Oryctolagus cuniculus: one gene and its partner. The main gene of each other region encodes a partner of the protein of the gene in region 2 in a complex. Links are inferred from orthologs where the notes say so. Each region holds a gene or a part of one and is shown on either strand. Other genes may lie near its edges.

What was found.
Region 1: the proteins of NFS1 (region 2) and FDX2 are in contact, whole or in part, in a cryo-EM structure (PDB 8RMC), measured with the Homo sapiens proteins. The link is inferred for Oryctolagus cuniculus from reciprocal best matches to the Homo sapiens genes NFS1 and FDX2. Residues at the interface, in NP_066923.3 of Homo sapiens: Gln153, Lys157, Leu160, Asp161, Arg164, Ala168, Tyr175, Ala384, Ser385, Leu386, Glu387, Pro388, Tyr390, Arg393, Gln456, His457; in NP_001384335.1 of Homo sapiens: Ala104, Cys105, Glu106, Ala110, Cys111, Pro141, Leu142, Ile169, Thr170, Arg171, Asn172, Phe173, Tyr174, Val175, Asp176, His178, Lys181.

What each region holds. Positions count from the first base shown.
Region 1 is NC_091447.1:67,066,451-67,070,789, reverse strand, and holds the start of FDX2 (ferredoxin-2, mitochondrial), read right to left. Parts: upstream 2,994-4,339; 5' UTR 2,927-2,993; coding exon 2,788-2,926; intron 2,710-2,787; coding exon 2,655-2,709; intron 2,486-2,654; coding exon 2,379-2,485; intron 309-2,378; coding exon 221-308; intron 142-220; coding exon 1-141. Other genes in the region: RAVER1 (ribonucleoprotein PTB-binding 1), read right to left, coding at 4,233-4,339. UniProt on the Homo sapiens protein: Electron donor, of the core iron-sulfur cluster (ISC) assembly complex, that acts to reduce the persulfide into sulfide during [2Fe-2S] clusters assembly on the scaffolding protein ISCU.
Region 2 is NC_091442.1:22,507,928-22,512,432, reverse strand, and holds the start of NFS1 (cysteine desulfurase), read right to left. Parts: upstream 2,884-4,505; coding exon 2,787-2,883; intron 2,228-2,786; coding exon 2,133-2,227; intron 1,435-2,132; coding exon 1,318-1,434; intron 748-1,317; coding exon 664-747; intron 1-663. Other genes in the region: ROMO1 (reactive oxygen species modulator 1), read left to right, coding at 3,234-3,364, 4,246-4,354.

The DNA of each region.
Region 1 (4,339 bases), on a different chromosome or scaffold from region 2:
ACGTGGCCGTCCACGTAGAAGTTCCTGGTGACCCTGGGCAGCGTGAACTCGGCGCCCTCCAGCTCCGGGGTGAGCACGAGCTGGCAGCCCAGCCGCGAGTTCTCCTGCAGCAGCGGCGCCATGTCCAGCAGGTCGTCCTCCCTGGGGCGGCGGGGGCGGCGTTAGCGGGCCGGCGGCGGCGGCGGGGGCCCACGCGCGGCGCTCCGAGCGCCCCACTCACCTCTCCTCCGGGGCAGGCAGCAGGTCCAGGTGGGCCTCACTCACGTACACGTGGCAGGTGGAGCAGGCCAGCGAGGCTTCGCAGGCCCCTGCGGGCGGGAAGCACAGGGCGCGGGTGAGCAGGTGCCGCTTGGCCGAGGGCGGCGGGGAGGGGCCCCTGCTTTCCCTCCAGGGCCTGCGCGCCCGCGGGGTGCCCCACCACCCCACCCTGTACTCTGCTAGCTCTGGTGGCCGGGGGAGAACCGCGCGTCAACCAGCGCGAGGAGAGGCCACGCGGGGTCTCTGGTCCCAACTCCCTCCCGCTGCTCCTGGGGGAGGGGCCAGCTCGCTCCGTGCCCGGCCGCATTGGGAGGGGCCCCCACCCCCCATGAGGACCGAAATAGGCAGAAGCGGGGGTTTCCTGCTGACCACCTGCCCCTGGGCATGCTCCCGGAACCCTCTGACGGAACAGTCTGTGCTTGGGGAGTGTCCCTCGTCACCTAAAACCTGCCACAGGGTTTCACACCCTGAACAAAATCCAGAACTTACCCACCCAGGCCTGGAGTCCCCCCCCCCCCCCCCGCCTCCCATTACCCTCAATGCAATGCGAACACAGCATGCTCATCCTACCACAGGGCCTTTGCACCTGCTACACTCATGCATGACCGGGGATGCTCTTCTCATCACTGGCTCCTCCTTGTCTTTGGGGGTTCAACTCCAGTGGTCCCTCGAGTCCCCACGTCCTATTTCTTGTCTTTCTCCCCCTTGATCACCTTCCCCCACTGTAATTCTGAAGAGTGTTTGCCAACCAAAGTGAGGGCGTTAACCTCTGTGTTTACCTGTCCCTCCTCCCTCCACTCTCTACAGGCGGAGGACAGACATACGGGCCCCGCCCCCCTGCTGCCCTCTACGAGATGCCTGGGAACCAGGAACCCCGCCAGTCTCTCCCCTAGTGGGCAGCAGGGAGCCAGCTATTGCGGCGGCCACCTGGGGCTTCCCAGGAGGCGGGAGCTGGTGCCGACCCTGAGTGCCCCCTCTGCCCCACTTTCCTGAGTGGCCCAGGCCTGTTTAGCCTGGGGCTGGTTCCTCATCTAGAAAATGCAGCGGGTCTGGTCTCCTCCAGTGTGTACAGTTGCCATGGAAATGCAGGCAGGGGCTGGCACCTGCCACACCAGGGCCCCACAGGAGCACAGGTTCGAGCCACGGCTGCCCGACTTCCGATCCTGCTCCCTGCTAATGCGCCTGGGAAAGCAGCGCAGGATGGCCCAAGGGTTTGCGCCCCTGCCATCCACAGGAGAGACCCGGATGGAGCTCCTGGCTCCTGGCTTTGGCCTGGCCCAGCCCTGGCTGCTGTGGGTATTTGGGGAGTGAGCCAGCAGATGGAAAATCTCCCTCTCCCTCTCTCTCTCTGTAACTCTGCCTTTCAAATTAATAACTTTTAAAAGCCAATCAGTTCATATGTTAACATACTTAATTTCTTTCCTTTTTCTTTATTTATTTGAAAGGCAGAGACACAGAGAGGAGAGAGAGAATCTTCCATCAGCTGATTCACTCCCTGAGTGGCTGCCACAGCCAGGGCTGGGCTGGTGGGAGCCAGGAGCTTCTTCCTGGGCTCCCACGCCAGCGGCAGGGGCCCGGGCACGTGGGCCGTCCTCCAGAGCAGGACCAGAAGTGGAGCAGCCGGGACTTGAACTGGCGCCCACGTGGGATGCCGGCACTGCAGGCGGAGGCTTAGCCTTCGACGCCACAGCGCCGGCCCCGGTGTTAGGTAATTTCTGCTCTTTTTGTCTTTAAGATGCTGACCTAACACCTGCTACATTTAAGGGCTGAGATGGGCAGCGGGTGGGTAAGAATGAGGCCCACAGGGGCTCTGCTCTCAGTGGGGACAGATGACAAAGACAGAACAGGGAGACAAACGCACTGGTAGGACAGTGACAGGGCCGTGGGGACTTCCGCTGGGATGAGGGAGACGGGGCTGCCCAGAGCTAACAGGTGGGACGAGAGGGAGCCAGAGCAGCCTGGGAAGGTGCATCCGACGGCGGGAGCAGCAGGTGCAAAGGTCCTGGGGCTGCAGCCCCTCCGTGGTGGGGGAGCCCTTGGGGAGAGCCACTTCTGACGGGTGGGGCTTTTCTGGGAGAGCGGATAAAGGCCTCCCCAGATTGCCGGGCCGGGCCCACTACCTTCCAGGTCCAACCCATGGCGCTGGGCCAGGTGCAGCACATTGTCCCCGACTCTGCCGCTCACTGGGATCCGCTGGCCGGACCGGTCTACGAACACCACGTTGACTCTGGGGACAAAGGGGGGCGTGGACGCCGGGATCGCCCCCGCCCCCCGCCCCGCAGAACCCAGGTTTAGGGAACCGGCAGGGGCTGAGGGGGGCGAGGCGAACAAAGGCCCGGAGGCGGCCGCGGGCCACGGCGAGGGCTGAGGAAGAGGGGCGAGGCCCCAGCACTCACACGTCCCCGGGCCGCTCGGGGCCGCCGTTCTCCTCCTCTCCCGCCGGCCGCGCGCCTGGAAAACACGGTTGGGTGAGCGGCCGAGCCCGGCCCCGCTGGCATGCGACGGGTTAACGCTGCCCGCGCCCGGTACCTGTCGCCCAGAACTTCCTGATCGCCGCCGGCGCCTCGCCGGACCCTGAACAGCTCCCGGGTCTGCTCCGCCAGGAGGTCCTCGCCGCCCGCAGCAGGCCCCTAGCATTCACGCCGCCCCGGGCCACGGAGGCGGCCATGACAGGCACCACGTGACTCGGCAACCGAGCATGCGCAGGCCGCACCCGCGAACCGCGGCCCGTAATCCTCCCAATACAAGCGCCACCGCGCTTCAGGGCGGCCCACCCCGGTTGCAGGCGAGGCAGGATGGGGCGCGCGGCTCTGCGTGGCCATCCGAGAGTCCTCACCCGGGCCCACTGCTTGACCCCAAGAACCAGCCAGCTCTGATTTCTTTAAAACCGTTTACTTACAAACTTTAATTCAGCAAAGGTCTGTGTGGGAAGGTAGGGGAGAGGATGTCGTTGGGGGGTGGGGTCCCCCAGAGGAAAGCTGGCGGCCCAGCAGGCCGGGGCACACTCAGGTGGGACAGGTCCTGCTGGTGCGCAGGTGCAGGGCCCGTCGGCGCGGCGTTCGTTGGCTTCCGGCACTGGGCCAAAAGGAGGCCAGCTCCGGGCTCCAGCCTGGGGATGCAGATGGGGCTTGTCTTCCACGAGGGGGGATGGCGGCGGCTCAGTGAGGCGGGCAGGGTGGGGGGAGCTTCCACACACAGCAGGGGACTGCACCCGGGCCTGGGTGGGAGGGGAGGTGGGGTGCTTTGCCAAGACCACAGCTTTGGCCTTCTCCTGTCCCCAGGGTGGAGCCCGCGAGTCCAGGGGGCCATCCCCAGGCCAGAGCTGTTTGGTCCTGAGTCAAGAGGCTCTGGCCCGCCGGCCTGCGGCCCAGCGTTAAGGCATCAGAAGGCGCGGGGACTTGTGGCGCGGACGGGGACGGGAGGGGGGCACAGGCCAGAGCGGGCAGGCAAGGGCCAGGAGACAGCCGTGCCCGCAGTGGACGTGGGGAAGAGGGCAGGGCCGAGCGGTTTCAAACTGCAACGTGTGGAATGGAGGCCCAGGAGGGCGGGACCTTGAAGGACCAGAGCTGGGGGGTGGGGTGGGGTGGGGTGGGGGCGCCCTGGATGGTTTAAAAAATAATAAAAATCAGAAAAGGAAACCGAAGTCAATTGTCGGAGTTAAAAAGGGGGGTGAGGGGACAGTCTGCTCCTCACGGGAGGCCGGGACCTCCAAGGCACTGGAAAGGCCCGATCAGGGGGGAGGGCGGGCGGGGGGCCCCTCTCTCTTAAGGCTGCGGGGTTTCAGCGCGGGGAGCAGGCCCCGGGCGCCCCCATGCCCCCCGGGCTCCGGCCAGCTGCTCAGCAGTCTTTCTGAGATTTCTCTATTACCGAAAGAAAGAAAATTCAAAAGAAAAAAAAAAAAAACACAAAACGAAACACCAGAAAACCCAAAAGTGATTTGGTGCGGGCCCTGCGGCTCGTCCGGCACCAGCCCCCTAGAAAATCCGCTTCCGCTTCAGGTAGGAGTCCGCGTAGTGGCCGCCGAGGCCCTGGGAGTGCTGGCCCACGTAGCTCCCCTCCGGGCTGGGCTCGGGCGAGGGCA
Region 2 (4,505 bases):
TTCAATCTAGCTCCCTGCTGATGCACCTGAGAAAGCAGCTGAAGATGGCCCAAGTTCTTGGGTTCCTGCCACACACATGGGAGACCTAGATGGAGTCCCAGGCTCTTGGCTTCTGTTTGGCCCAGCCCTGGCCACTGTGGCCACTTGGGGAGTGAACCAGTGGATAAGAAAGATCTCTCTCTGTTTCTTCCTCTCTCTGTAACTCTGCCTTTCAAATAAATAAATAAATAAATTTTTAAAAAAGAAAGAAATGAGACTGCTACAATGAGAACAGCCCCAATATATAAAAGGGTGAAGCTATAGCATGAAGGAGAAACATGCCTAAGTACAAGTGATTCGGGACTTCCTTGTTACCAGATCACAAGAATGAGGCAGAGAGTTCAGTCGTCATTATCAACTTTCTGAAGTAGCTGCCACCCAAGAAACCAAGTGGTTAATGGCCTGAGAACCACAGCCTCTCCTACCAACTGCCTCACTGAACTCAGGCCAATAGACAAAGACTTAAAACAGAGTAGACTGCAGAGGACTGAAGGAAAAGCAAACCAGGAGTGTTTTCTCGTCACAATAATGAGGGGTAGGTAGTTGTGAAATATATGTCTGAGCCTAAATGATGGAGAAATACTTCTCTCTCGAGTCAGGAAGACGCAGATCTGCTTCTCTTACCTTAACTGCTATGTTGTTAGACTCAGTAGCACCACTAGTGAAAATGATCTCGCGAGGATCAGCTCCAATGAGAGATGCTACTTGCTGCAAGCGAAGAAACAGATGCATAACATCAGTTCCCACACTATGGGGACATCGGTCTAGGCAAGCGACTCCAGACACGGCTGGGCCAGAGCTCTGGAGGAGAGAGCTCCACAGAAATCTACCAGTGGACCAGGAAGAAGCGCTCTGCGTCCTAGGGTCAGTGACAGCCCATATCCCAGGCTTTTTACCAGCCCCCAATAATACTATTCTGTGTGGTCTTTCAAATGCACTTATTGAGCTCTCACTATGTACAAGTATTGTGTTCATCAACACTTTACCAGTACGGTCTCATTTAACCAGCTCAGCAACCCCAGGGAACAGGAATTATTGCAGTCTCCATTTCATATTTGAGAAACTGAGGTTCAGAGAAATGAGGTAACTTGCCCAAGGCCTTTTAACTAGGAATTGTGGGAAGTAATCAAATGCCTGCAGTCAGACACCAAGGTGCTGTCTGTATCTCTTCCAGAAAGAACCTGAAACCATTTCCACCCACTTCTACCAAGAAGGAAATGCCTCCCACAGGCCACTAGCCCTCTGTCCTCAGAACCTCCCAGACACCTGTGAACTAACCTGGCGAGCGCGTTCCACGGCTGCCTCACTCTCCCAGCCATAAGCGTGTGTCCGGGAGTGTGGGTTCCCATAGTAGTTGACCAGATAAGGAAGCATGGCATCAAGTACCCGCGGGTCCTGGGCACAGCAGAATAGAATCCGTTGTCACCTCAGGGCCTTCTTTCCCACTCCTACATACCCTGCCCACACACTCCTGACCAGTCAGACACTGCCTGCCTGGGGTTTCTCACATTCTTCCACCTCCTCAGATACTAACCAAATACGACCATAATATACTCCCATCTCCCAAGGGGTCCTACCATGCCCTTTCTCTATCATCTCCTCCATGGTCTACAAACACTTCCTTGTTCTGAGGGCTGATGGCTGTTGCTGCAAGTTTTTCCATTCCTGCCAGAAAATGTGACCTCTGAGGGGCTGGGACACGACAGAGCCCAGGCAAACGCCCCTTGTCACACAGAGATGAAAATTTTCATTAACTCTCGAGTGCTGACCATATGCTGGGCTGCTTTGTGTCTTTTAACCGATTTGATACCAGCCCAATTTCACCTAGCTATGAGATGGTACTCCTGCTAACTTCAAGAGCCCATGCTTACTGTAACCACTTCCATCGTGCCTGCCCTGCCTGCCTAAATCCAACGGCAGAGCCACTTCTCGTGGACTGCGGTTTAAGCCTCCTGAGTCCCGGCTGGAGGCACTTGCCGGCACATCTCAAAGGGCTCTCACGTCTACAAGAATCCAGCGATTTCTGGGCACTGTCACTTCCACTGCTCACTTCCTGTGGACAGCCCTGGGGAAAGCTGCCGCTCCCTTCTTACCAGAGGAGTTGTAGCTTGCACATCCATATAGAGAGGTCGCAGCACTGCCTCCACCTCCGGAGCAGCGGCTGTGCCTGAGGGAGCATGGTCCGCCACTGTCAGAAAAACAGAAGGAACGGAGCGGCCAAGTGAGAGCCTGCGGCGGAGGACGCCGGGCTGCCGTCAGGGCGGGAGGTGAAAGCGGGATGAAGGCGGTGGTAAATTCGAGCGATGCCGGGGTCAAACGGGAAGGGAAGGAACACAGCATCAGAGAAGCTCGGGACCCTCTGAAAGGTGGTAAGGGGTAAGGCGGGAGCCGGTTCTTGGAGGAAGATGCTGGGGCGATATTTAAATTCCCTGGTTGGGAGTGAGAAGAACTCTCAAGGGTAAAGCCCCGTAGAAGGAATGCGGAGACAGAGCAGGTGAGGTAGCGGGCTGGGAAGAAGCCGCGGACCGCGTCTCCAAAAGACGGCTGGGGCGGTCCGAAGGACGAGCCTCGTAGGCTGTCCAGGTCTGCTGCGCAGACAGACTGAGCGCGGCGGACGGCAAAGGGCAGAGGCTCTAAGGCAGCCGGGCCGGACAAGGAGGTTCCAGAATATCCAAGTGCGTAGTGGCGCCCAGGGGCAAAGACGCGCGCCTCCAGGGAGAGTGGCAGCGAAGAGCCCAGGAGCGTACCGCGCAGGCGCAGCTCCCGGGTGGGCACCGCAGGCCTCGCCCCTCGGGCCGCGGTCACCGCCGAGGCCGCCCGCCGCCAGGCGGATCGCAGCAGCATGGTCGCGGCGGCCGAGCCCACCACCTGGAGCGGCGGCCGACTTCGGCCCCAGGCTCCCGGAAGTGCTGCCTCGCGCACCGGAAGCGATTCCTCGGGCCACGCGCGCGCCCCGCCCTGCTTCCCGTGTGAGACGTACTGCTGAGCGACCGAGGCCGCGAGCGAGGTGAGGAGGGGCCGTGTGAGCCCCGCGACCGCGCGACGCGGGAGCCCGAACGCGAAGATGGTGGTGGAGGCGGGCAGCGCGCTGATTCCCCTCCTTTGACTTCCCCGAACCCCTGGGCCCGCTCCCCGCCCTGCCCGACTCCCGGGCTGGCGGCTAGGCCCGCACTTTCCTCTCTCGCATTCCGCAGATGCCGGTGGCCGTGGGTCCCTACGGACAATCGCAGCCAAGCTGCTTCGATCGTGTGAAGATGGGCTTTGTGATGGGCTGCGCCGTGGGCATGGCGGCCGGGGCGCTTTTCGGCACCTTCTCCTGTCTCAGGTGAGGAGCGCAGCGGAAATCTCCGGGCGGCGCCGCGGAACCCGCCCGGCTCGCAGCCCCAGTGGCGCGTCCTTCGTTCCAGTTCCCAGCTGTCCTGACCGCGTGCAGCCAGGAGACTCGGGTTCAAGGCGTCCGAGCCTAAGAATCTGAGCTCCAGAGTCGTTCGGCTGCTGGTTTGGTGACTTAAGACAAATTGGAGACTTGAGTCTCTTCAAGTGTAGGGTGAGGTCGGTAACACCAGCTCAGGGAGAGGCAGAAATCAAGCACAGCATCTGGCACGTATTAATTAAGTACTCAGTAAATGGTTGCTACTGCTGTTCTGAGTGGGCAAAATGAAACTTGCTAAGCGGCTCTACTGTCTTTGAAAACGATGTACAGATGAAGCAGATATACTCCATACTTGAAAGTCACTTTACCACTTGAAAAAGTTATTCCCATTTTCCTACATTACGAACTATCGTTTACTGAGGATTTACTGGTGCTAAACTACTGTAGTTGTCAAAACATTCCGGCAAATGTAATACTAATACAGCCTGTGAATTTGCAGAACAGTCTCCAACCTGGGTCTCACTCAAATCTAATACCAGAAAACGGTGTCTAAAGATAGGTGTCGTTATTGGATCATATAGAGCCTGAAGTCAAAATCAGCACATGTACTTCACCCCATGTCTGCTGCCACCAGTAAACTACAGGCAGTTGGCCCTAAGAATGTCCTGTAGACACTAATGGATCTTTCTTCTTATTACCCTAGATGGAAAGAGATCGGATTTAAGATAGAGATGTCTAGATTTTAACAGGGCTCAATATATTACCAGAGTGGAAACGAACAAATGGTCAAAAATTTTTGTTCCCAAATGTCCCCATCCTGGTTTCCTCCTCAGGATCGGAATGCGGGGTCGCGAGCTGATGGGCGGCATTGGGAAAACCATGATGCAGAGTGGCGGCACGTTTGGCACATTCATGGCCATTGGAATGGGGATCCGTTGCTAACCAGGGCAATGGCTCCCCACTACAGCTACACTTCCCATCAGTCCCAGCGTGTGTACAATAAAATCATCTTTGACTAGCCTGTATCTTAGAGGCATTATTTTGCTATTCGATCTGCCCATTATCCAGCATAAAGATCTTGTTAACTGAAGAG